Rattus norvegicus: one gene and its partners. The protein of the gene in region 1 purifies or fractionates together with the protein of each later gene. This does not show direct contact. Links are inferred from orthologs where the notes say so. Each region holds a gene or a part of one and is shown in the gene's direction. Other genes may lie near its edges.

The links.
Region 2: the proteins of Yap1 (region 1) and Ywhae purify together in Homo sapiens (affinity purification with mass spectrometry; 8 studies listed by BioGRID and IntAct, with this or other methods). This does not show direct contact. The link is inferred for Rattus norvegicus from reciprocal best matches to the Homo sapiens genes YAP1 and YWHAE.
Region 3: the proteins of Yap1 (region 1) and Wdr5 purify together in Homo sapiens (affinity purification with mass spectrometry; 3 studies listed by BioGRID, with this or other methods). This does not show direct contact. The link is inferred for Rattus norvegicus from reciprocal best matches to the Homo sapiens genes YAP1 and WDR5.
Region 4: the proteins of Yap1 (region 1) and Phgdh purify together in Homo sapiens (affinity purification with mass spectrometry, with the first as the bait; 4 studies listed by BioGRID). This does not show direct contact. The link is inferred for Rattus norvegicus from reciprocal best matches to the Homo sapiens genes YAP1 and PHGDH.
Region 5: the proteins of Yap1 (region 1) and Pdlim7 purify together in Homo sapiens (affinity purification with mass spectrometry; 3 studies listed by BioGRID and IntAct, with this or other methods). This does not show direct contact. The link is inferred for Rattus norvegicus from reciprocal best matches to the Homo sapiens genes YAP1 and PDLIM7.
Region 6: the proteins of Yap1 (region 1) and Ctnnb1 purify together in Homo sapiens (co-immunoprecipitation; 11 studies listed by BioGRID and IntAct, with this or other methods). This does not show direct contact. The link is inferred for Rattus norvegicus from reciprocal best matches to the Homo sapiens genes YAP1 and CTNNB1.
Region 7: the proteins of Yap1 (region 1) and Runx2 purify together in Homo sapiens (affinity purification with western blotting; 4 studies listed by BioGRID and IntAct, with this or other methods). This does not show direct contact. The link is inferred for Rattus norvegicus from reciprocal best matches to the Homo sapiens genes YAP1 and RUNX2.

The regions. Positions count from the first base shown.
Region 1 is NC_086026.1:13,399,438-13,402,937, reverse strand, and holds part of Yap1 (transcriptional coactivator YAP1 2), read left to right. Parts: intron 1-2,862; coding exon 2,863-3,044; coding exon of another isoform or gene 3,045-3,056; intron 3,057-3,500. UniProt on the Homo sapiens protein: Transcriptional regulator with dual roles as a coactivator and corepressor. Critical downstream regulatory target in the Hippo signaling pathway, crucial for organ size control and tumor suppression by restricting proliferation and promoting apoptosis.
Region 2 is NC_086028.1:61,081,507-61,085,733, forward strand, and holds the start of Ywhae (14-3-3 protein epsilon), read left to right. Parts: upstream 1-1,427; 5' UTR 1,428-1,543; coding exon 1,544-1,607; intron 1,608-4,227. UniProt on the Homo sapiens protein: Adapter protein implicated in the regulation of a large spectrum of both general and specialized signaling pathways. Binds to a large number of partners, usually by recognition of a phosphoserine or phosphothreonine motif.
Region 3 is NC_086021.1:31,234,607-31,238,545, forward strand, and holds the start of Wdr5 (WD repeat-containing protein 5), read left to right. Parts: upstream 1-1,139; 5' UTR 1,140-1,420; intron 1,421-3,939.
Region 4 is NC_086020.1:188,618,290-188,621,789, reverse strand, and holds part of Phgdh (D-3-phosphoglycerate dehydrogenase), read left to right. Parts: intron 1-3,388; coding exon 3,389-3,500. UniProt on the Homo sapiens protein: Catalyzes the reversible oxidation of 3-phospho-D-glycerate to 3-phosphonooxypyruvate, the first step of the phosphorylated L-serine biosynthesis pathway.
Region 5 is NC_086035.1:9,142,632-9,145,456, forward strand, and holds the end of Pdlim7 (PDZ and LIM domain protein 7), read left to right. Parts: exon of another isoform or gene 1-1,261; intron 1,262-1,494; coding exon 1,495-1,615; intron 1,616-1,718; coding exon 1,719-1,834; intron 1,835-1,988; coding exon 1,989-2,075; 3' UTR 2,076-2,325; downstream 2,326-2,825. UniProt on the Homo sapiens protein: May function as a scaffold on which the coordinated assembly of proteins can occur. May play a role as an adapter that, via its PDZ domain, localizes LIM-binding proteins to actin filaments of both skeletal muscle and nonmuscle tissues.
Region 6 is NC_086026.1:129,531,076-129,534,575, forward strand, and holds part of Ctnnb1 (catenin beta-1), read left to right. Parts: intron 1-3,019; 5' UTR 3,020-3,067; coding exon 3,068-3,080; intron 3,081-3,380; coding exon 3,381-3,500. UniProt on the Homo sapiens protein: Key downstream component of the canonical Wnt signaling pathway.
Region 7 is NC_086027.1:23,663,558-23,667,857, forward strand, and holds the start of Runx2 (runt-related transcription factor 2), read left to right. Parts: upstream 1-1,500; 5' UTR 1,501-1,504; coding exon of another isoform or gene 1,505-1,905; coding exon 1,906-1,963; intron 1,964-4,300. UniProt on the Homo sapiens protein: Transcription factor involved in osteoblastic differentiation and skeletal morphogenesis. Essential for the maturation of osteoblasts and both intramembranous and endochondral ossification.

The DNA.
Region 1 (3,500 bases):
TTGTTTTGTCTGCATCTATGTCAGTGTGCCACATGTGTCCTGTGCCTGTGGAGGCAGAACAGGGCACTGACACCCCCCACCCTCCACCCCCGGAACTGGGACTGCTGATGGTTGCGAGGCAGTGTGGACGCTCGGAATCACACTTGGTCCTCTGGAGAGCGGCAGGCGCTCTCACCCCGTGTCATCTGTCCAACCACTTGTACTCCTTCAATTAATTATAACTAAAGACACTTTTCTTCCCAGTGGGTGTTTGCTCTTGGCCTCAGTTCTTAAAAATAGTTGTTAAGATTATATTTATCATGCATACAGTGTCTTGGGGTACACTCACACAAAGCCATGATAACACTGCCCAAACCTCTCAGTTCCTCATCATCTTAATACACGTTAGTGGTCTGCAAGGGGATCTAGCCTTTCCACCTAGCAGATTCCAACAACGTTTTCCTTTTTTCTTCCTTTTACCTTCCATCCAGTGGGGATGTGTCCCAGTGATGTGCTCTTAGTTATCTTGTTTACTATGTTGTCTTGGGAACAGAGAAAGAAGCTCAAAGCACAATCAACTACCCCAGCCTTCCTCAAGCCAGCTCACCTCCCACACAACAGAACACTCCTTTAAGGATAAATGGGGGCCTAGAGACCTGGCTTAGCAGTCACGGCTCTTCCAGAGAAACTGGGTTCAGTCCCAGTACCTACTGTGGCGGCTCACAACAACTTTAACTGCAGTTCCAGAGGACCTTGTAAGTCTTCCTATATCCTGTACACACATGTACACTTACAGCCAGGTATATATAGATACCTTTTTAAAATCCTCTAAAAAGAGAATTATTTAAACGTTTTCCTGGGGCATGGACAAGAAAGAAGCTAATAGCTTGAAGATTTGCCAAGCTCCAATACCTTACTTAATAAAATTATTTTCACCAACATAGGTAATAGACAGGTTCTGTGTAGCTCACACCTCCTCACACCTACCTCCAATCGCCAATCAATGGGGAAGAATACGGATGAGAACACCGACTCAGTAAGTCACTCTGTTCAATTTGTTTCCATATGTGCTGTATAAAAACCATACCTTTCCCTTCCTAAAAAGAGTGCTTTGTAAACACTGGCTCCTTTATATATACGCTCCTTCTCCATTTTCCCACTTGATCAAACTGTTCACTGTTTCTAAGATTTTCTGTAATTCCCAAAGATTTCATCTTTTCTATAAAGGCACAAAGATGGGTGGCAGAGTTAACCAGTGGATCCTTCCTTTGAGGCATGTTACAGGCTCTCCAAGAGAACAGGAAGTACATTTCTACATTCCGTGAATACTACCGTGAGAAGCAGCACAGCAGAAGCTGAGCACGACCTGAGGACTGTTGTGAGAAGCACTGTGTACAGTCAAAACCCAGGCCTCAGACAGCAAGATGGCTCAGGGGGAAAGGTGTTTACTACAGAACCTGATGACCTGAGTCTGATCTCTGAAGCACATATAAGGACAATCAACTCCTACAAGTTCCCCTGTAACCTCAGTATGTATGTGTACCCCAAGATAATCTTAACAACTATTTTTAAGAACTGAGGCCAAGAGCAAACACCCACTGGGAAGAAAAGTGTCTTTAGTTATAATTAATTGAAGGAGTACAAGTGGTTGGACAGATGACACGGGGTGAGAGCGCCTGCCGCTCTCCAGAGGACCAAGTGTGATTCCGAGCGTCCACACTGCCTCGCAACCATCAGCAGTCCCAGTTCCGGGGGTGGAGGGTGGGGGGTGTCAGTGCCCTGTTCTGCCTCCACAGGCACAGGACACATGTGGCACACTGACATAGATGCAGACAAAACAAAAATAAAATTAATCTAAAAACTATTCAATAAATGGATGAATAGTGTTATTAGAAAATGACCTTTCATTTTGAGAAGTTCTGGGATTATGAGATACAAGCATCAAAACACAGCCTAAGTCTCATAAGCATTTCCTGTATTAAAAAACAGAAAATGACTGCGTTTTACACTAGATTGTCGTCGTCGTTGGTAATAATAGATTAAGTGAGTTACTAAAAAACATACTTGGTGAAAACAAATTGGGCTGGGAGTGATGTTTTGTTTCTGCAATCCCAGCACTGGGGAAACTGAGGCAGGAGGCTCACTACAGACTGAGGTAGGCTGGAGCTGCGGTGAGTGACAGCCCAGCCTGTGCTATAGAATGTAACCCTGCCTAAACCAAAGACAACCAGGCCAAGAAAACTACAGCAAACCCAACAACAATAAACTGCTTGCAGGCTCTGTGGGAAGGGGCACACTCCAGGTCACTCTAGCACATTTACTGCATGGGAATAATTAGTAGTCAGGATTGGTTATTTTGTTGGTCGAGTTCTCTTCAGAAAGTGGTCATTGATGAGCTGATGATTTGATTCGTAGCCTTTGTAGAAAGTCTCTCCGATTTTGTTTTAATGTGGTTTGGTTGTGTGTGTGTGCCTCCCTGAAGGTTCTGTGTGAAAGGCCTCTCTCTCTGAACCCACCAGCTTCCGGAGGATTCTGCTTCTGCCTTCTATCTCACAGCAGGAGTGCTAGGATTACAGATGTATGCTATTGAATTCTGTGTTATATGTGGCCTCCATGGATTCACCTCATGTTATATGGCTTAGGTAGCAAGTACCTTTACCCGCTGAGCATTTTGCAGGCCCTTTAACTCTATTTGTATAGCTTGCCACTTTGGTTCCTGTTCTCTGATGCTACCCAAGTTCCTTTTGCCTTCGGGATCTGTAACAGTTGTGATGGACATGGGTCACAGTCATCACATCTATGGTAGCTTCTCAGGGATTTCTAGCTGACTGGCTATCCCCTTGCATGCTTGAGTTTTTCAGGACAGTCTTTGTTTCATTTCAGCCATGAACCAGAGGATCACTCAGAGTGCTCCAGTGAAGCAGCCCCCACCCTTGGCTCCCCAGAGCCCACAGGGAGGCGTCCTGGGTGGAGGCAGCTCAAACCAGCAGCAGCAGATACAGCTGCAGCAGCTACAGATGGAGAAGGAGAGGCTGCGATTGAAACAGCAGGAGTTATTTCGGCAGGTGAGACCACAGGTTAGAGCGCGGCCTTTGTCTTCCGGGCTTCCCCTTCCAAAAGTCTGTGCTTTTCATTGTAGCTTTAGTCAGCTGCCAAGGAATGTTGGTTTTGTGAAAGCAGGCCTGCTTTTGTCCTGTTCCTTGACTGGCCTTGGTTCATATGCATTATAATTCATGGTCCTACATCATACAGAGCTGTATTTATTATCCAGAGTGGTGGGGCACACCTCTCCCTCTCATCCAGAACTTTGGAGGCCATTGCAAAAAGATTAGGAGCTCAAGACCAGTCTGAGCTACATTATAATGTGAAGGCTAGCCTGAGCTACATGAGACCCTGTTTCAACAGAAAAAAAGAAAAGTACTGGGCAGTTGTCAGTGCAGTTGGGCAAAAATGCTTCTTCCCAGGTGCAGGCCAATTGCAGACATTGTTTCTGAGAGCTTGGCAAGTAGAACTCTGGACTA
Region 2 (4,227 bases), on another chromosome or scaffold:
AACTTGTGGCAATCCCTCTGTTTCTGGTTCCACAGTGCTGGAATTATAGGCGTGAATCACTACTTCAGCAAATATGTAATACTTTTCTTAAGTATAATTATGATGATGTCATCTTCCACTCAGAATCATCAAAACACGGCTTACCCGGCTAGGACTATAACTCAGTGGTAAAGCTCATGCTCGAGGCTCTGGGGTCAGTCTCCGCACTTGAACAAGACAATTCCTGTCGGTTCATAGGCTAAGATGCAAGCCTCTCAGCTTGTGACCTCAGGCCTACGGTAATTTGGTCCCAACCTTTCTATTTCACACTTTGAGGCCCTTTTCTTGCATGGCTCAGCAGCAAGCAGATATTGAGTATAAGATGTTGAAAATCCATTGGGAAGCAGAATAGGCATGGCCATTGCAAATGAAGCAATTCCCATTGAGAATTCTTTATTTCTTTTTTTTTTTTTTTTTTTTTTCTTTTTTTTTTCGGAGCTGGGGACCGAACCCAGGGCCTTGCGCTTCCTAGGTAAGCGCTCTACCACTGAGCTAAATCCCCAGCCCCGGCGAGAATTCTTTATTTCTAACTCATCCACATCAATTTGCCCTTACTCAGGTGCACCTTGCACTCCGAATGAGGCAAGCCACTTTCTTGTCTTTTTTCCCTCTAGTGAGGGTTTCCCTTAATTAGTTTAGATTGATCACTTTTTCTTTCTCTTTCCTTTCTGTGTGGTTTGTTTATTTTTGAGATGGGGGTTTTTTACAATGTAGCCCAGGCTGACCTGGAATTTGCTTTGTAGATGAGGCTGGATCCAAACTCGATCCTCCTGCCTCTACCTCCTTAGTGTTGGGATTAAACGCACGCACCAACGCACATGAGTCAAAAACAGAGGCTTTTTAACAAAAGTCCTATCTATGATAGGCCAAAGAGATAAAAATACAGCTGGAGGGGGAGAAGAAAGTGCTTACAGTGTGTGAGCAAGAGAGATGGTGATGCGTGAAAACTCGAGCTCTCCCTTCTTCATTTCTCAATTCTTTACCTAGGGGTTCAAAGGACCTGAAAAGGGCACACGGATGAGAAAAATGTGCTAGAGTGCACAGGGCAGGTTGATCTCAATGAGGAAGGCCTGCCGTAGCAAGAATTCATAAAGCCTCTTGCTCTGTCGCCCACAGGCCAGCCCGCGGTTGCCTAGCACAGGCTTCTGGTTTACTCCCCTCCCGCAGTCTAAGCCGACCTGCCTCCAGCCGCTCCAGGGGCCGCTCTCTGTCGCAGTCGCAGTTCCCGCCTCGCCGCAGAGTCGCCCGCTGAGCTGACGGAGGAGGGGCGTCCGTCGTGCAGGTTCCAGCCTTTTCTGGCGCCGAACTCCCGGACCCGCCCCCCCGCGCCAGTTGCCAGGGAGCGGTTGCCATAGAGCTGAGCAGTTGTCCGCGTGCGCAGGCGGAAGTCCCGGATTGAGGCGCCGCCATTTTTACTGCTCGGACGCGGAGCGAGAAGCTGAGAGAGTCGGAGACGCTATCCGCTTCCATCCGTCGTGCAGACCCTGCCGGAGCCGCTGCCGCTATGGATGATCGGGAGGATCTGGTGTACCAGGCGAAGCTGGCAGAGCAGGCCGAGCGATACGACGGTGAGTTGTGGGGGTGTCGGGGGGCTGGAAGTCTCGGACCCTCCGCCGCCGCCCACAGAGGCCGGGAACCGGAGACAAAATGGCGGCATCGTCTCCGAGCCTGGCTTGGGACGTGGGTCGGGAAGCAGGAAATGGCCTGCGGGCTCCCGAAGCGGTGGGAGTCTCCGGGCCTAGGAATTTGACCCCTCCGGTGTCCTTAGGTTGCAGACGCTCGCCAGCCAGCAGGCCGGGGTGTAGGGTGGAGGAGTTGGTTGTAAAATGGCGGCTGGAGGGGGAGGGCGAGTCCCCGGGCGGGGGAGGGGGAGGAGATGGCGAGTGCCGTCTCCCGCCGTGCAATCCCCACGGGAGGTTTCGGGATTGCGGCGGGGTGTGGAGGACAATTGGGTGGGGTGGTGTGAGAAATAGCACGGGTCACTCGGGAGAGGGCGGAATCTAGGAGCTGTAGCTCCGGCGCCTTTCAGGGAAATATGGCGGGTGGGGGCGGTGGCTTTTCCCCGGAGGCCCAGTGTGGGGCGGCGGCTGTGGAGCCTCACAAAGGAGAAGCCTCCGGAGCGGACGGCTTCTTTGGGCCGGTGGTGGAGAGTAGTCTTTGGTGAGGGTGGAGTGTTTGGAAATCACTGCAGACTATCCTTGGGTGGAGGCAAGCTGAGATGCTGCGATTGGATTTCTTCCCTTTGGCCGACACACCTTGGATTTGAGGGTTTGGGGAGGTTTTCGGCCTCACCTTCTTCCGGGGAGGTGCACAACCTCACTCATGCTCCGTTTGTTCTTACCCCGGATATCCCAAAGTTCCTGCGTTTGGCCCCCCAACCCCCAACCTTCACAAGCATGGAGTTCTGATGGATAAGAATACAGGAGGCCAAGGCTTGCCTTGACTCCTTAGTACTGATTGCCCTTTGCAGTGCCAGTGCCTCAGTTTACCCGTTTGTAAAATTGAAGACTTTACTATTCACACTTAGCATTATGAAACATAGACCTGTTGAGAAATAGTTAATTCAAATAACGTTTAGTAACACGTTTGGTTGACAACCTAAGTTTGGAATGCATGTTCTTGCTTGGCTTGGGGATCCTTACCTATTTTGAGCACTCAGTTGGGGCTTGGGGATTTTGAATTAGGAATGTAGAAGATTGTAGTTTTTTTTTCTTTTTCTTTCTGTTTTATGATTTCATTGTTCCATGAGTGAGGCTCGATCCCAGGGTTGCATGCAGGCAAGACAAGTGCTCAAATATTGTGCTACACCACAGCTCTGTTTTATCTATTTTAAGTGAATGGTTTTATGTACAAATTTCAGTAGTTACTCTTTGTTCATTTGACACCCCCCTCACCTCCCGGTGATGGAACGTAGGCCCTAGTATGTGCTAGATGAGTGCTCTCCTCTCAACTTAGCTACATCCTTAGCGCCTGCTAATTTGAATTCAGTCATTTTTGAGAATTTCATTGACATCTACTGTGCTTGTGTAGCCTAGGTACAAAATTCTAATTTTGTAACTAGATAACTGGAGTTAGGCAATAGGCCGTTAAGCTAGTCTTTAAAAATGAAAAGTCACACACATGGTTCCTGTGATTTAATTAATTGCTGTGTAGCTCTGGCTGTTCTGAAACATGCTATGTAGACCAGACTGGTCTTGAACTCCCAGAGATCCATCTCTCCTGACACCCTCCCCCTCCCAGGCTCCCCCCCTCCCCCCCGAGATTAAAGGAATGAACACTAAGACTGGGTCCTGTGAGTTTAATGTTTAGGGAGTGGTAGGGTCGAATGAGACAAGTTTTGGAATTAAGTGTTCCTCATGTTTTTTCCAAGTTAAACCATTTGCTTCTCAAATGCTAGGTCAGGCCCTTTTTCCTTGAATGCCAGTTTCTCCTGTGGTGACTTTTGAACTAGTCATACGTCTTTGCCAAAGTCACCACTGTTCCAGCATTTGGAAAGTAGAACAGCAGGCTTCAAAACCTCCAATTTAGGAAAGATGATGAACTAAATTTTGTCTTGCAGATTTTTTTTTTTTTTTTGGTTCTTTTTTTTCGGAGCTGGGGACCGAACCCAGGGCCTTGCGCTTCCTAGGCAAGCGCTCTACCACTGAGCTAAATCCCCAACCCCTGTCTTGCAGATTTAAGTTTGTACTGAACTAGGCTCCGGTTGGGAGCTGGAGGAGGTGGGACGGGGAATACTACTGCAGCTCCAGGTGAGCCTTATCTGTAGTGTGTTTTGAACCAGGAGAGTTGGCTGTAGTGGAGGTTTCACCTCTCACCTTCCAGAAGAGCCCCCCCCCCCCTTGTGTTCTTGGGAGGAAATGTGAAATTACATTCTGGTAATTTAGGCTTTATGTAAATATGATACCCCCAACCCCCCAAAAAAAGGAGGTATGGGGAAGCTTTTTGATTCGTTTCTAAGTCATTTTAAAAAGGGATTTGCAAATAAGATTGTATTTCCAAATAAATGACAAGTTAAACCATACTTGGGGTTTGAATGATGAAGATTTTTGACCAAAGCCTGGCCTTGTTGGCTATTGAGTGTCGTGTTGTAGAAAAGCCATGTGGTGACTGGCCCCTTTCAGACACTAGATGAGGGAAGGAAATAGGAAGCACTCCTGTGATTTGGTGTAAGAAAAGGGAATCAGTAGA
Region 3 (3,939 bases), on another chromosome or scaffold:
TCTGAGTGTGGGGGTGCACAGCAGAGTCTCTTTGTGGCCCAGCTTAGAAGAGAGGCAAGTATGTTCAATTTGAGCTGTGGTTTGCAGTGGCAGGAAGCCCCCGCCCTGCGGTAGGCAGGGGAGACCGCAGGCGCTCCGGACTTCCGGACCTCGTGGACGTCCACCAGTGGCACCAAGAGGGTTTCCTAGAGTCCAGGGCAGGCACAGGCCACGACAGGCAAGCTGCTATTAGCTTGGCGACATAGCCTGGAATTTAACAGGAAAGGCACATAAGCACATTTTTACCCATCTTTAACTGCAGAGAGTTCCGGTCTGCAGGCACTGAAAATTAGTGGCGGTCAAATAGGAAGCAAGAATCATAGGTGGGCCCTTTAAGGCGCTCCGTCTCCTCTAATTTTTCTGACCCTCGTCGCCGCCCGTTGCCCCGCCCCCTCGCGCACGCGCAATCCCTCCCGCCTCCCGCGCCGCGGCCGACTGGTCCACCAGATCGTCTGCTCTCGCGCGCAGGGCCAGCCGAGGCGACGCCAGAGCGCCCGGCCCCGCCGCCCCGGCCCCGGCAGGTAAGGGAGTGACCCGGTCCTGCGGGCGCGAGGGGGGCGGCGACCACGAGGGCCCACGGGCTTCGGGATCCACAGCGCCGCACGTGTTCCGTGGGCCTCCGGCCGGGCCCGGCGCCGCATTTGTGGCCGCGCCCCGACCCCGCCGCCCCTTGTGGCCGCCACGGCTCGCTACTTCCACTGCGGCCCCTGCTGCGCCCCTAGACCCGTAGCCCTGCGAGCTCCTCGTGGCTCACACCTCAGGCTGGCGTCCCTGGGAGTGGGGACACCCAGCTAGCATCTCTCAGGTTTCCTTGGCCACTTGGCGCTTTCGTGCTGCCACCACAACCTTCACCCGTGTCCTAGTGCAAGTTTCTACCTGACGAGGGCTGACTGGTCAAGTGGGTTTTGAGCACTGTCTGGGTCAGCCAGGCAGTTGAGAGTACAGTGGTGTGAAGCCAATGGTACTAGGACCTAGGGGTATCCAGTAGTCCAGAGAGGATGGGTTGGAGCTCTTTGTTGGGTTACCTACTGCACTCACCTGAGTGACTGGACCATTCTGTCTTCCCATACTTGTGTACTCAGTGTCTAAGGCGGAAACAAGGAATCTGCATTTGATTGGAGGGAGACTGATGGCTGCTGCCCTTCCATGATCACGTTCCCTGTAGTGTAAAGCTGCGGTTGCCAGTTAACTGCCTCCTTTGTGGGCCGTGGAGGCCAGCTCCAAACCACCTGCTGAGGATCCTGCTTAACACACCTCCCTCCCAGAGCTGTCCTCTTCAAGTCCTGCTTTCCGGTGACCTTAAAACAGAACACCTGAGTGCTCTCTGTCTTGGACTCTACCCAGTGGAATTGGAAATTGGTTTCCTTTGAGACGGTTTCAGGTTGGTGCTGGCTTCACATTTAACTATGAATTCCCGAACCTCCTGAATGCTGCGAGGTAGATTGGCTAATGCTAATGTTCTTTCTTTTCTTTTTCCTTTTTTTTTTTTTTTTTTTTTTTTTTTTGGTTGGTTGTTTGGGGCTGTGAACTTATTAGAGCTGGGATCAAAGTGTGGTGCACACCCAGTGTCTTCATATGTTAATATTTGGCTTCCTGAAAGAATCAGTTTATAAAGGGTGGGATGGGATGGGCAGGGTTGGGTATCCTCGTGCTTGTTTTGCAAGGCCATTCACCCGAGGCTAGGTGAATCTCTTTATATGCTAAAAGACACTGCTTAGTTCCTCGAGACTTCCTACCCCAGAGATCTGCCCTGCTCCCTTGGCCTTTTATTTCCCTGAAGCAGGGAGATGTGGTAGGACTTTCTATCTCATTACTTAACATCTTCTCAGCTCCTCTTGCTACCTGTATGATCCACAAACATGTTGGCTCTGGGAACTCATGGCCATATAGTTGCGTTAAGCAGCTTCAGGTCAGGCCTGGGAGTTGATTTATGCCTGTTACACCAACCATACTGCGGCTATTGAGGCAGGATTTTGAATACTGGTGCATAGCAAGACCCTGTCTCCAAAAAGCTAAAAACACCAAGCAGCTGGTATTTCCTGGGCACAAGAGCTTTGCTTTGTGGAGGGACCCAGGCAGGGGACCTACCCCTAGTTGGATCCTTGCACCTGGGCTTGAGCTACAGCAGAATTTGACCTTGGTGGAGCAGGCTACACCTGTGCCCTGTGTGGTGGGTGTTACTGTTCCTTCCTAGGATTGAAGACTGAGGCTTTGGTCTCTTTTGGTGTTGTCTCCTCTTAGTCTCCCGTGGGGTCTGTGTGAGGTGTCAGGTTTAGTCTCAAAGCTAGGCTGTGCATCGTGATTTCTCCTTACACTGATGGCTGAGGGATCATGATGGCCAGTGATGTTTGCATGTCTTAGGAGCGCTCCATTGGAGGAGCACTAACTCACTTCCCAGTCACGGGATGGCCTGTAAACTGTAGGAAGTTGTTGCAGTTGCACTGCTGAAGGGAGTAACTGCTTTCCCTCAGCTCTGCAGCTTCTTCTGGTGCAGTTTCTCTGATGTTCTTCCTGCTACTCCTCCTGGGAGGTTTCATATGGGGGCGGTGTCTACTTTGCTGTACTCTTTCTTGTAGCTCTTTTTATAGTACTCTGTGCAAGAGTCCTTGAGCTCTGTACGCTCTTAGCATTGTAGAAGGCAGTTTGCAGCCTGTGAGGTCAAAGGGAGCCGAGGTGGAGGCCACCAGGTACAGACAAGACTCCTGTGTTTCCTCAAATTCTTTGGGTGTATTTTAGAATTTGCCTGAGTTTCCAAACTTCTGCACAGAAGGTCTACTCTTGTCACTTGGTCTGTTGTTTCTGTTAGAAAGCCTTTTAAAAACTGTATCAAAAGGCCCTGGGTTCGGTCCCCAGCTCCGAAAGAATAGAAAAAAAAAAAAAACTGTATCAAGGAATCTTTGAAGCAGAGCTCACATTCCGGTACACATCTGTATACTGCAGTGGGAAGCCTTCTTGAAGCTTAAGTCTTAGGCTCACAGAAGGTTCAAGAGTAGACCATCCATCACACAGAGCACCTGAAGCTGCAGCCTCGGTACAGTTATCCCCAGCTTGGAGCAGTTTATTTGTTGTAGGGTTCAGTGCTGCGGTCATGTTCTCCTTTTTACCCATTTTCTTGGGAATATTTTTATTTTTATTTTGTTTGAGTACAGTGTAGCTGTCTTCAGACACACAGAAGAGGGCATCAGATCTCATTATAGATGTGGTTGCTGGGACTTGTACTCAGGACCTTTGGAAGAGCAGTCAGTGCTCTTAACTACTGAGCCATCCCTCCAGCCCTAGAGTCACTGTTTTTTTGTGGGGGGGTGAGGTGGTCTTATGCATGTTAGGTGAACACTCTTCTATGAACAGCTCAGTCCCAAGAACCTTTTTGTTGTTTTGAGACAGGATTTCTTCTGTGTAGCCCTGACTGTCCTGGAGTTCACGCTTTTTTTTTTTTTTTTTTTAATATTCCTTCCTCTCTTATCTTTTTATAAAACACAGCACAGAGTATGCCTTTTTTGTGCGTGTGTTTTATAAAAATAAGGAGAGAAGGAATATGTTTGGTGGAGGAGAGATATGGTGTGAGGGAATGGTGTGGGGGGAGGGGGTGCCTCTGCAGGCTCATGCGGAGACATTCCTTCCCCTGAGGGACCAGCCACACAACAGTCAACAGTATATTGTAGAGTTTATTCAGGGCATGGGAGGGGAGTTGAGAGGGTAGCAGAGACCGAGAAAGGCAGAGATAGAGTTGAGGGATGCCAGCCATGAGCACATGGAGAGAGAAGGGTGAGGGGAATGGGGAGAGAGGAGTAAGGAGGGAGAGCAAGAGAGTGGAGTTCACTCTTTAGACTAGGCTAGCTTCAAACTTGTAGATACACCTTCCTCTGCCTCCCGAGTACTGGAATTAAAGGTGTGTACCAC
Region 4 (3,500 bases), on another chromosome or scaffold:
CTTACGTGCCCTGTGCACTAAGTGTTAGCAATAAGAGAATTACCTACAAGGCCAAGCCCATCCTCTTGGGAAGGAAGCATGTATGAACTTGAAGAACAAGAGTAGGGATAGGTTTCTACTGAGTTAGCATAGGTTTTCTGGAACAGCCATAAATTAAGCAGATCAGTGGCCTGCTGTTTCCCAGCTCTGAAGCCTGGGAGTGGGACTGGGAAAATTTGTAGGCAAATGTGGAGTGTGCGTTCCAGATGAAATGCTAGGTGCTTGTATTCCCACTTGGTGAATGCTAGAGAAGAAAGAACAGGCACTGGGGTGTGAGGGGTAGGAGTAGAGGATTCAGTTTTGAGAGCCCTGAAGGTAATCTTGCCTTTGCTCCGGTGTCGGAGCACTGGGATAGAGTCCTGGGATGACACGTATGCATCATGCATGAAAGAGAGCGCTCTAATCCCAGCACTGCACTAGGAGTTTCGTTAGGTGTGAATGTTTGTGTTGTTTGTGTAAGTAGAGCAGGGGAGGAGCACCCTGGAGGAGTCTTTGAGGGATGAGCTATGGTCCTAGAGAAGGGACCAGGAGTGCAGGGGCCTGAGGGCTCAGCACAGGGTGGGTTGGCCAGTGGCCTCAGTAAGTTTGTAGTGAACACACTGAGGAAATGGCGTGTAGTTGATGTTGTAAGAGACCTTGGAAGCTAGCAAATTCTGACCAGTGTTGGCTCTAATGTAGGTCCTGGGCCCTTAGGACCTACCAGCTTTGGAAGCATGTCTGTGTCTGTCTTACTGGAGACGCTAAAGGTTCATCAGCGTCAAAAGCGGGCTGGGGCTGGAGGGTGGAAAGTATAGTTCCAGGGTGAGGACCCCACAAAGCAGACTCGGCTGCTGGTGAGAAAAAACAGCACTGTGGCTGAGGTGTCCTTAGGGGCTGTGAGAGACGCAATTGAAGTCCCTGGTCCTCTGCAGCTGTTGTTTCCTGTGGGGATCCCCAGAGCAGTGATTGGACAAGGACCTGGGCTTGGGATCAATCAGAGAAGAGGGAAAATGGTTCCCCTCTCCCTATCTCCCTGTGTGTGAGAGATTGACGGTGCAGGGAGAGGCAGGGCATAACCTTCAGATGTCAGTTTTCCCTTCCTCTGAGGGATCCTGGGTGCAGGATCCCAGGATTCTGCAACAGGTGTTGTTGTTGTTGTTGTTGTTGTTGTTGGTGGTGGTGGTGGTGGTGGTGGTGGTGGTGGTGGTGGTGGTGGTGGTGGTGGAAGAGGTGGTGGTGGTGGTGGTGGAGGTGGAGGTAGAGGTGGAGGTGGTGGTGGTGGTGGTGGTGGTGGTGGTGGTGGTCCACCAGTCTGAGCCACCTCACCTGCTCAGATCTGTGGCAGTCCTCAGGCCCCTCCCACATTCGAGGTTTATAGCGGTGAGCCCTGTATCCAGGCGACCACACACTCTCCTCGCATTCAGGGGCAGGAGGGTCCTGGCACAGGTCTGTGCTGGCCGATGCGTTCATGCTTGCTTTACTGAGTTCTTTCTCTTTAAAAGACTTTGGAGAAAAGTGCTCAGTTTTGATGATGTGTGGGATTTTCTTCCCAGATCAAGGCCGTTTGCCTCTAATTCCTTCTATAAGACCTTTTTTTCTGTGTAGAGGTTTAAATTTAGAATGTAGCCATTTTCTTAGGGTTTCTGAAATGCGTGTGTCTGTTATAAAAGGCTTTGTCATTCTAAGATTGTAAGAAAACCCAATATACATATTTCTTCCTTGGGTGCTTTAAATTTCTTTAGTTCACCTCTTGATCCAAGCTGTTATTGGCTGTGCCTCTCAGGAAAGCAGTTGGCAGATTTTGGTATATCTGTCATTGAACTTTAAGATCTGGAAGGTTTCTTGGTCATTGTACCTACCAGTGACCTTAGCCAGAAGGAAGAAAGGAGCTGGAAGCCGGGGTGGTGAAGGTTGACTGGTTTGTAGAGGTGCAGGTGTGGTGGGGCATGTGTTTCTCATTTACAAAAAGGAGTGTGAGACACAAGTGAACACTTTTTTGGAGTCTCCTACTCTGTCCTGTCTAAACCACACAGCCACCTTCCGGTGGCTGGCCTAGAGCCCTCCAGCAGGCACAGCCCCACCCAGTCAGGATGCCTGAGGCCTAAACAGCTGCAGAGAATTGATTCTGGAGCATAAACAGCTGCAGAGAACTGATTCTAGAGCCTAAACAGCCACAGAGAACTGGTTCTAGAGCCTAAACAGCTGCAGAGAACTGATTCTAGAGCCTAAACAGCCGCAGAGAACTGGTTCTAGAGCCTAAACAGCCTCAGAGAACTGGTTCTAGAGCCTAAACAGCCTCAGAGAACTGGTTCTAGAGCCTAAACAGCCACAGAGAACTGATTCTAGAGCCATTCCCGTTGGGTTTTCTCTTTCTCCTTCTTTTTTAAAGGCAAGGTCTTTTGTGGCCTGGCCTGGCCTTGAATTCTGTCATTGCCACAGATTCTACAACTGCTCTTGAGCAAGTCAGCCCATCCCAGTGTTTAAGCCACTCCTCCCCCAAGCCTAACTACCCCCTTGAGCAGCCCAAACTTCATTCACCTCCCTTTTCTGAGCAGAGATAAAATAGTTCTGTTCCCTCAGCTTTTAACTACTCCACACTCGTTCCTCCATCCCAGGCTTGTGCACAGTAAAGGCAGCATGGGCCTCACACAGACTCTGAAGCTCACAGCTCTCCCTCCCTCCCTTCCTGTGCGTTCTCGTCTCAAGAACCATTTTCCTTTCAGCAGGTCTTGCCTTCCATTCTGCTTACTTATTCAGCCAGCCAGCATTTACAAACTGTCTTCCTTCCATGTGCCTGCCCGAGGGACTCAAGGAGTGAAACTGGGTCCTGCATCTTCACTTTAGTGTCTCAGTGTCCAGTGGAAGAAGTGATTGGAACAGGGCGGAGTGTTAGACCTGCCTATCCTGTTTCCTTCTCACATACCTGAGGCCGGAACCTACATCTCTCTCTGATAAGGGATGCAGCTTAGAGGATGCAGGCCAGACTACAGACATTGCTGGTTTTCCTTTGGAATTCACCCACGAGGCAAGGCAGCATACAGGAATGTTAGTGTGTACAGAGTTGACTAGGGCATGAGTCTGCTCACACTAAGGTACTGTCAGGATGGGCTGTCCTCTGGCTCTAGGTCCTTATCGGGACACCAGCTATAGAAAGATGGATCAGATGCCTAGAGCCAGCGAGCTCTTGCTATAGTTGGAGTGTACTGACCAGGTACTGCTCTCAAATGCTCTAGTCCACGTTACCCTACAGCGTGCAAAGAAGCCAGACCTGCCTGTGAGGGGGCATTCATGCCCACCAGGAACGCAACAGAGGCCTCAGGTACATTACAGAACAACAATATGAACCCTGGTATTGTCTTCCTCTGCCCAGGACTGTGAAGGCCTTATCGTCCGGTCAGCTACTAAGGTCACTGCTGATGTCATCAATGCAGCAGAGAAGCTCCAGGTGGTGGGCAGGGCTGGTACAGGCGTGGACAATGTGG
Region 5 (2,825 bases), on another chromosome or scaffold:
AGTTAGGAGCTGAAGGCTGGTCGGATGAGCTTCAAGGAGCTGCTCTTGGGGTTGTGGGGGAGGGGAATGACATCCAGGTTCATCCCAGAGCTAGGATGCCCCCCAAGATTATGTTTGGCATGGCCACGCTTGTCTTCTGAGTCAGTAGCATGTTTTACAAATCCAAACTAGGTGTAGCTGGATGGTTCAGGGCTTACCTAGCGTCTATGAGGTGTCACCAGCACCAGGAAAAACAAAAGGTTTCAACCTAAGTATTCTAGTCATTTGGAGTGAACCTGTAATCCTCAAGTGAGGCAGGCTCCACTTGGGCCCACCGAATACCCCACCTGGGTCCCTGACTGCAAACCTGGGCTATTTTGGAAACGGCCCAGGATTGGAGTACTAGAGTCCTAAGATAGGTAGTTAGGCTTTACAAGAGGATAAGGCTGTTGCCAGGTGCCCCATACAGTCTCCAGCCCTGGTGACCTTTATGAGTTCCAGGAATGGCTGTTTTTCCCTGGGGAGAGGTCATCTCCTGAACCTCTGCTTCCTCCAGTAGAGCCAGATCCACCGAGGACCCACAGCGGGCTAGGCACTGTTGGAATAGATCCATTCATAGAGCAGTGGACGCTTCATGTCTCCTACATCTAGGAAGGATTGGAGGTGGGGAGGGGAGGGAGACGTGGCTTAAAGTAGTCACTGGTGGGGCTGGGGATTTAGCTCAGTGGTAGAGCGCTTACCTAGGAAGCGCAAGGCCCTGGGTTCGGTCCCCAGCTCCGAAAAAAAAAGAAAAAAGAAGAAAAAAAAAAAGTAGTCACTGGTGTCAGAGTGGGCCCTGTGGAGAAAGTGACAATTATACAGACACTTAAGCCTTAAGGTTGAGAAGATCTATCTGGGTGAGCAGAGAGCACACGGGTGTGAACATGTGAGCGATGGTGGGTGGAGGTGTGGGGGAGAACAGGGCAGACTGCTGGGTCCTGCACAGGCCTTTTAAAGACACGACCTTCATAAGTTACGTGGGCCAAGTTTGAACTCTACCCTGCAGGCTTTTAAGCTGTCACCTGGCCAGATGCGTCTTGAAGTTGGACCCTTCGATACTTACTGATTGATTAAAGGATATGGGGGAGAGAGGGAGTGTTGAGTCACGGTGGCACAGACCTGAAAAGCTCAGCAGTGGAGTGAGGAGCACCAGCATCAGGGGTTCAAAGCCAGCCAGAGCTAGAAGAGACTACCTCAAAAAAAAAAAAAAAAAAAAAAAAGAAAGAAAACAAAAGAAAGAAAAGTGGTGGGTTTTGGTCTGAGCAGATGGAGAGGTCTTGACTGTTGGCTGTGGGAGGAGCAGGTCTGAGAAGGGAAGTCTTGGAGACCTGATGCTAAGGAACTTGTGGTTGCCCATGCAGCTCTGGGATCTGTGCATATGGAGATGGAATGTTTTACAGCAGTTGGGGGGGGCGTGCCAGCCTTCCCCTGTTCTCAGGGACGGGATGGGCTGAACCCGACTGTGGCCTCTTCCAGGAGATCATGCATGCGCTGAAGATGACCTGGCATGTTCCCTGCTTCACCTGTGCAGCCTGCAAAACCCCTATCCGCAACAGGGCTTTCTACATGGAGGAGGGGGCTCCCTACTGCGAGCGAGGTGAGGCGGGGCCTAGAGAAGGCAGAAGGACTGGAGGGGGGGACTGGGCGGGGCGGTGGGGGCGCCTGCGGGTGCAGACCCTTTTTTCTGTCCCTGTTACCAGATTACGAGAAGATGTTTGGCACAAAGTGTCGCGGCTGTGACTTCAAGATCGATGCCGGGGACCGTTTCCTGGAAGCCCTGGGTTTCAGCTGGCATGATACGTGTTTTGTTTGCGCAGTAAGCACCTCCCTCCTCTCCCCCTCCCACTCTGTGTCCCCTGTTCCTTACCACCCCATACCTGTACCACTGCCTGTGGGATATCAGAGAGCTTGGGGAAGGGCTCTCCTCCACCCTCCCCAGCCTCGTGCGACTGGACCGTCTTTGTCCTCAGATATGTCAAATCAACTTGGAAGGAAAGACCTTCTACTCCAAGAAGGACAAGCCCCTGTGCAAGAGCCATGCCTTCTCCCACGTATGAGCACCTCCTCACACTACTGCCACCCTACTCTGCCAGAAGGGTGATAAAATGAGAGAGCTCTCTCTCCCTCGACCTTTCTGGGTGGGGCTGGCAGCCATTGTCCTAGCCTTGGCTCCTGGCCAGATCCTGGGGCTCCCTCCTCACAGTCCCCTTTCCCACACTTCCTCCACCACCACCACCGTCACTCACAGGTGCTAGCCTCCTAGCCCCAGTTCACTCTGGTGTCACAATAAACCTGTATGTAGCTGTGTGCTGTGCGCCTCCCCGTTCGCATCAGGAATAGTGGGACTTGAGGTAGGAGGAGGATGCGGGTTTAAAATGTCATCCTTGGGGCTAAGCTTTTTCATCCTGGGGCTGTGGAAGCTTCATGATCACTGGGAAGAGTATACTGTGGACCCCATGCCTGGGGCTTACTGCCCAGGGATGTGAAGGAAGCCACTAGTAGGAGTTGTGGGTGGAGGGAGGACATGGCTGCCAGGTGAGACACCTGCTGCCTTCCACCACCCGCCACCTAGAGAAGTAGAGTGGAAAGAGGGTCACACTGGGAGGAGGGCACCCGGAGTGCTGGGCTCAAGCCTAGATGGGGATCTGGAATATCCGGGGGACAGTGTGGACACAGAGGTGCCAGGGAAAGACAGTGTTGGAGAAAGGATCCAGGGCTGAGTCCCAGGATCCCTGACAATGTTGCTAGGCATCTTCTTCTGTACCGGAGACCGCTTACTCATGATGTTCCCACCCACCTCACCAGGT
Region 6 (3,500 bases), about 120 Mb from region 1:
GTTAATGTGTTCTTGTAGTAAAAGAAGCACACGAGGAAGGACTGACTGACCACTCAAGAGCAGGAGGCAGGGCTCAGTTCTTCTGTGGTCTTCACTGTGTCCTGGTGCTCGTGGTTAAAATGGCCGACGTGCAGCACTGTAGCAGTAAATTTCTTCTTAGACCATAAGCAATTTTTAACTCCTAGAGATAAATCCAAAGGTTATGACATTCCATAGTTAGAGTAGTGTTTTCTTTAAATAATTGGATTTGTTCTAGTACACATTTTTTAGAAAGTGAATTGTTGGTGTGTGGTTCTATAATGTGTGTGCTTTATGCAGTGATCTTAATCATAGTTAATACTAATTCAAAATTCTTATAAGGTGAATAAGGCAATTTTATCCCTGATGGGAACTTGGAAAGGAACCTTAATGTAAATCTATACTAGTTCTACAAGAGGAATTTACAGATAAAGTCACGTGATCTTTGAGCTCATAGATAACTGGAAAATACATTTAGAGAGCAAGAAGGAAAAAAAAAAAAACCAAAGAGAAATTGTACAGATTCCTTAGACTGGGTAAGGAGATGCGAGAGAAACTGTGAGTCCCACATGTGCCCTGCCTAGAGACTGCAGACACAGCAGTGTCTGTCACTGGTTACTGCCACCTGGATGAACACTTACACAGGTCCTCCTCATACTGTGGTTGGTTTTCTGAAACACCTTGACTTGGTTCCTGGATCCATTACCATTTTCCTCTCTTATGTTTGAGGTCTCTCCCTCAGTGTTTCAGGAGGATTTTGCAACTTTGGTTAATATTTAACCTAACATTTTTGGTTCTAAGTTTCATGGGGGTACCAGGTTAAAGTATTTGTGGCATCCCTTCCCCCCATTTTAAAAGCACTGTCTGTTTTTACTGAGTTTGCTTTTCTTGACCTTTTTCTTTTGACATTGAAGAATCTCCCACAGTGGCAGTTAGAAAGCATTGATTCCCAGGAATTATGAGGTTGGTCCCTTAAGAAATCGGCAGGGTGTGCCTAGAAGGGAGAAAGCAGCCTTTGGCTTGAAGCCTCTGCTGAGGAAAAGTTTCCTTTGAGGCCAGGCCTTCCCTGCTGCACTTCTGGGTGGACTTCCCAGGGCCGTGCTGCTGTTTTGGTAAATAATGCTTAGAATTCTTGCATTTTTGGATCTTTCTTTGACCTGCATATTGCTACTTAAAGCTGTCAGCTCTCTTTCATCCTGTTTTCATCTCCCTGTTGCTGACATTTGCCCTCCACCCACCTCCCTACCCTCCTCCTCTACCCTACAGGGCCTCTGTGAGAAGCAGGGATGATTCTTATGTACTGCATAGGGTGCTTTGTTAGGTGCTAACACTGGATGCTAATGGATTTTGTGTTCAGGACTCTAACATCTGCAGATACTGAGTTTAGAACATGATCTTTTCCCACATAAAATTATTATATATTGTCTTCCAAATAACCAGGTCAGCTTATACACCAGGCAAGATGGTGAGTGTTTGGGTCCCGCAACACTAAGGAGGAAGCAGGGACAGGGCTCTGCCTGTATGTGGTGGTGGCACCGCCTAGTCTCCAGGCCTGTCTGTGTTGGCCACATGAGGGAAGTGCTAGATACATACAGGGTTCAAGTCCCCTCTGCAAAACTGCAGTGAGCCTGCACTTTCCTGAGGGCTGGGGAAGGCAGCAAAGCAAGGCCACACCCCTTTTCCACACAGGAGTGGGCATCATTGTTGGTTAAAGATGGAGAGCTGTGCTCACTGTACAGAACTTTTCTGTTTTTCACTTTAGGGTAGAAGGCTCTGAGGTAGTGGTCCCCTCCTTTGACAGCTAAGTGTCACTTTGTACTGTGGACCCTGAAGCAAGGGCCCAACCTGAGCTTGCTTACATTAGCCTCGGAGGAGTGATGGAATCCAGATGTGATCCCAGCTCAGGAGGGTGAGCATGGCAGAGTGCCAGCCTGGGCTTCAGAGTGAACAGTTTCTCAGAAAACAGGAAAAGATCGGTGTGTTCTCTCTACTTAAACATCGGTCAATGGTGGGGTTTCTCACTTCATTAAATGTTGAAAAACACCATTGCATGAATTGAAAATGTAGCCATACCTAGAGGTCCTTTCTGTGTCTTTATCCATTTGCTGCTGTTGTTAGCTGTAGTGCTGCCTGCTGGGGCAGACATTAATAATAGAGTCTGGGGGTTGGGGATTTAGCTCAGTGGTAGAGCACTTGCTAGGCAAGGGCCTGGGTTCGGTCCCCAGCTCCGAAAAAAAGAAAAAAGAAAAAAAAAAATAATAAGAGTCTGTTCACAGAGTACTAGAGGTCGTGAGCCTTAAGCTCCCATTTCATCCTTGGTAACTTAGTAGTGTTCTTGAATATTGTATAGTAAGGTCAAAGTGAAGACATAACTTAGGCTAACATTCGCCAGTGGAAGACGTCCCACTGTTGATGGCAGGGGCGTCTGTCTATACCAGCTGACGTGGCACGGACAACATTGTGCGAACTTAGGCAAACCTCATCACAAGGGACTTCCATTTGTACTTCAGACTTTGACTTAAAGATATTCTGCTTCTTCAATAAGCTGCATAAACCACCATTCTGATCTGGTAATTGTGCTATATCAGGAAAAACCGTGGGTTTATTTAATAAAAATTTGGTGGTTTTTCTTTAAAAAAAAAAAAATCTACTGCCTCCTGGCTGGGATTTCCAGGCATCCTGAACCCATGCACAGCCTTCAGGGTTGGTGGTGCAGCTGGATTTTAACTAGTGCTCTCTTGGCTTTCACTAGAGAGAGGCCATTCTCTAGCAGCACCTGTGTCCACACTCTGTTTCTGCTGAGAAGAGCCCAGTGGTGATGGAACTGTGGCTCGTCTGAATTTTCAGTGGATGCCATGATGAACTGACTTGGGTGAGGTGTGGGTGGGAGGAGCCAGAGCCTAAACAGGCAGCAGAATCACAGTGACAGGTTAAAAATCAAGCTTGACTTGTGACGACTTGAACTGTGACGACTTGAATTGTGATGACGGAATCTTTTCAGGGTATCTGAAGCTCAGCGCACAACTGCTGTGACACCGCTTTGTGGACAATGGCTACTCAAGGTTTGTGAATCTCCTCAACGAAGATTTGCTTCCTTCCTGCTGTGTGGGGTGGGGTCTGCCTCAGCCCCTGCTGCTCTTGCACACTGGCTACTGGCTTGGTGACATAATCAACAAGCCACCCAATGGGATCTAGTGGGTGGGTGACTCTGGAGTCCAAGTTCATACCTGTTCCATGGGGCTCACACTGGCATCACCCTGCTCCCCACGGTTGCCTTTCTAAGTGTTCAGCAGGTCACAGCGGGTCCCGTCGCTGACGTCGTACTCAGGCAGCATTCTCAGTGCATTAACACTGTTTTGCAGCTGACCTCATGGAGTTGGACATGGCCATGGAGCCAGACAGAAAGGCCGCTGTCAGCCACTGGCAGCAGCAATCTTACCTGGATTCTGGAATCCACTCTGGTGCCACCACCACAGCTCCTT
Region 7 (4,300 bases), on another chromosome or scaffold:
TATAATGTTTGTTGAAAAATCCTCCATCGCTCCCAACTGATGAAAACAGGAAGCTCTATTCATAAATGTGAAATTCACTGCCTATGATATATAATCATCCTAATAAGAAAATGAGCTCTAGACATACATGTCCAAGAGGGCAAAAGAAGAGATAGTTTCCCAAAGATGGTTTCAATTTTCTTCTGAATCAGAATTAGCAAATCGAGACGACTAACATACTCTGTCTGCGTGCATTATTCCTTACTACACACAGCATTTTGTAATTTATTTCAAAGCTTCCATTATAAACAAAAAAATACAGTTTCTGTTAACCCACTCTATTCTGAACTATGGAAACTACTGAATATCTCATTATATATGCAGAGCTGAAGCCCAAAGTCCTGTTACAGTCACTTCCAAGCGGACTAAAGAATCATACAAAACGTTTCTTTTAGAGATAAAATCCAGTCATGCAGAAAATTAACACTATTCCAACAACCTGTATCCTGCAGGTCTTGACATTTGTTTTTTTTGGGGTTTTTTTTGTTTGTTTGTTTGTTTTTTAAGATCTTCAAAGTAACCAAGGGATGATGGTAAAAATAATATAAATGATACTAATTACATTTAATCTTTATTGTAAGAGCTACCACCTAATAAAAAAATCAACTACACAGTCATGATTTAGTATTTGTAAAGGAATCCCCAGGCTAACACTTTTGTGACAGCCAATTACAGTCAATCCCGGCAAGGAGTTTGCAAGCAGACCTTTGGAAAGGTAAACTGTTTTACAATGAGTTACAGATCTACAAGCTTAGGAAGACAAGCAGGAAAGAAGCAGCCACCCTGGGAAATCCGAAGCAGCCCTGAAAGTGATACAATCCCAAGATGTGACCCACTGCGAAGCAGCAGTTGTTCAGAACGCCGCACTCACTTGAAACAGTTTTGCTCACTTTTCCATAGACATAATAATGAAGGAAAGAGAGGAGGGGTAGAGAAAAGAGAAGAAAGAGCAGACGAGGGAAGGAGGGAAGGGGGGAGTAGGGAGGTGGTAGAAAGGAAAACCCTTAGCTGCAGAGTTCTGCTCTCCAAGTGCTTAACCTTACAGGAGTGTGGGCTCCTTCAGCATTTGTATTCTATCCAAATCCTCATGAGTCACAAAAATTAAAAAGCTATAACCTTCTGAATGCCAGGAAGGCCTCACCACAAGCCTTTTGTCAGAGAGGGAGAAAGGGAGGGGGAGGAAGGGAGAGAGAGAGGAAGGGAGGAAGGGAGAGAGAGCACCCATAAGTAAAGAGACAGAAGGAAGGGAAGGGAGAGGACAACAGAAGAGAAAGAGGGAGGGGAGGGGAGAAGGAAAAAGATTGAGAAAGAGGGAGGGGAGAGAGAAAGGGGGAAGCCACAGTGGTAGGCAGTCCCACTTTACTTTGAGTACTGTGAGGTCACAAACCACATGATTCTGTCTCTCCAGTAATAGTGCTTGCAAAAAATAGGAGTTTTAAAGCTTTTGCTTTTTTGGATTGTGTGAATGCTTCATTCGCCTCACAAACAACCACAGAACCACAAGTGCGGTGCAAACTTTCTCCAGGAGGACAGCAAGGAGGCCCTGGTGTTTAAATGGTTAATCTCTGCAGGTCACTACCAGCCACCGAGACCAACCGAGTCAGTGAGTGCTCTGAGCACAGTCCATGCAGTAATAGTAGGTCCTTCAAATGTTTGCTCACTCCTTTTTGTTTTGTTTCCTTGCTTTTCACATGTTACCAGCTACATAATTTCTTGACAGAAAAAAATAAATATAAAGTCTATGTACTCCAGGCATACTGTACAACTAAAACAGGGACTGGGTATGGTTTGTATTTTCAGTTTAAGGCTGCAAGCAGTATTTACAACAGAGGGCACAAGTTCTATCTGGAAAAAAAAGGAGGGACTATGGCGTCAAACAGCCTCTTCAGTGCAGTGACACCGTGTCAGCAAAACTTCTTTTGGGGTAAGTGCTACCTTATTTTAAGTCCTTTTTTTCTGTGAACCTGTTGAGTGTGAAGGTACAAGGGTAGTGTGCTGCGAGCTCTCCTAGGTCACAGTGTGTGAAAGATCATGATGATGCTATTTTCTCTCACTAGAAATTGAAAAGTGAAATTGCTGTAAATATTAGTACTTGGCATGTGTAACTAACTCTCAGGGTAATGGCTTGAAATAGACAAAATTAAATGAGCTCATGTTAATCAAAATGTTTTCCAGTGTAACAGAAATAAGGATGTTAAAAACAGTGAAAGCTTAATATTCTCATGAACTTCCCTAGAATAAAACTGGATGTTGAATTAATCAAAGTATTGTTAAGTTATTGACTCGGCAGCTCCCTGTATTGAAACAAATTTCCAAAAGGAAGCAATTTTACAAAATAGCAGACCACAGAATTATTGAAACATTGTGGTCTACCGTGTATGACACAGGAGTAAACCTGAAGGAAAGTTAGCCTTTTCAGCCGCTCCACTGAAAGAATTCTCTCTACGGCTTGAAACTATGTCTTTAGATATCTCTATAAGCCAGTTTCTAACAATCTTCTGTGACTGAATCAGACATGCAACCAGAAGAGAGGCATTCCCAGGACACCAGAGCTGTTCTGAAAAGATCTTCAGTGCTCAGGACACTGAATGTGCATGAAGGTGAACTTTTCTAATAAGTTTACGTTTAATTTTATATCTGCACACTATTGCTCCCACATGGAACTTGCTACAACATACAGCAAACACTGAAACCTCTAAGATTCTTTTGAGCACATTCTTAGACCTACCAAAATGAATACCGTTTTTAGTCTCATGAAAAATAAACTCCACAAGGATACCCTGAAGGATTTAAAAGAGCCATGCCGACGAAATCATGCTGGACTTTTAAAACAAAACAAACATAATGCAGTCTCTTAATATTAAATTTTCTGCAAGTGCTGATTCACATATGTAAATGTTTCAATCCTCATCAACTGTCATGCGAGTGCAGTAAAATGTCCACTTACATGATTCTCTTTATGATATCCAACATGTCCAAACTACACAGCAGATTTTAAAGACTGGCTTTTTGGCTTTTAAATAAATCCTTGGCTGCAGAATCTTCAAACTAGCGATTGGAGTTCCCATTACTCCTCCTCCTCCTTCACACATCTTAACTGGGTCCTAGGACAGGACTTGTCTTAGCTTAATTCAAAGAGAAATAATTTAACCTAAAAGAAGGAAGGTGGTCTCTTAAAGGGTAAAGAAATTTACTTCAGGTTTTACTTTTAAAATAAAGAGAAATTGCTATAATGACTCCTACAGCAATCAAAAGTAGGTCATCTCAGTTACAATTTATGCAATGGAATAATCATAGATTAATTTGTAATTTCAATAGTGGGCATAAGCATTACTATTAAAAGCTTTGCCTTTAGGAGGCAGAAAATAACTACAACTAGAGTGCACCATATCTCAGGATAGTCCACATTATATACACAGTTCACAAAGGAAATGTCACTGAGAAACAAGAAAAACCTACGTTAAAGCTATTGTTCTGTGGAGAGATTACTTGGGGGCGGCGGCAGCGTGCAGTTAAGAAACATTTCAGACCTGGAGGCAGATCTGTCACAAAGAAAGTGTTGAAATGTCCTTGCTCTATCATACAGGAGTAGCAGTGGGTCTTAAAGTTCTGTGACACTCTTAATGACTATTGTATATTAAAGTTTCCAAGATCTGACCAAGTTTAAGAGTTAAATCAAGGCCACCTTCTAGAGCATGGGGGCTCTTTTTCACATTCTAACCAGGCTTTCTCTTCTAGAAGTGAGTCTCACCTTCCCTGCCTCCCCCTCCTCCAAACAGTACCTTAGGACAGGTTAGAGAACTTAACTCGAGCCTCCTACACCAGACTAATTACAGGCGAGGCGTGGACAATTGTTCCAGGTTATCATCACGTCGCATGTTTCCCCATCCCATAATGTTGGTGAGGCTCAGACCTCCCTTCAAGGTTACACTCTGACAGGGCTCAGCATAACCGCCTAGTGCGGTGTCCTCAATACATGCGCCAATTTTGTGAAATGGTTAAAGAAAGTTTAGGGAAGGACAAAGCATGCACTTACTGAGTATCTCGACCACTGGGCAGGAGGGAGGGAGGGTGGGAGAGAGCGAGTGGAGAGATGAAAAGAGAGTCTCAGTGTCCTTGATCTCTGCTACTTTAATCAAGACTTCCAATCTGTGCTACTCAAAACCATTACTTAATATGAATCAATCCTGTTGAAACAGAAGATTGACTCAGCAAGTATCTTAGCATTAAGGACTCGTCTGTGAAATCACATAAGCTGACG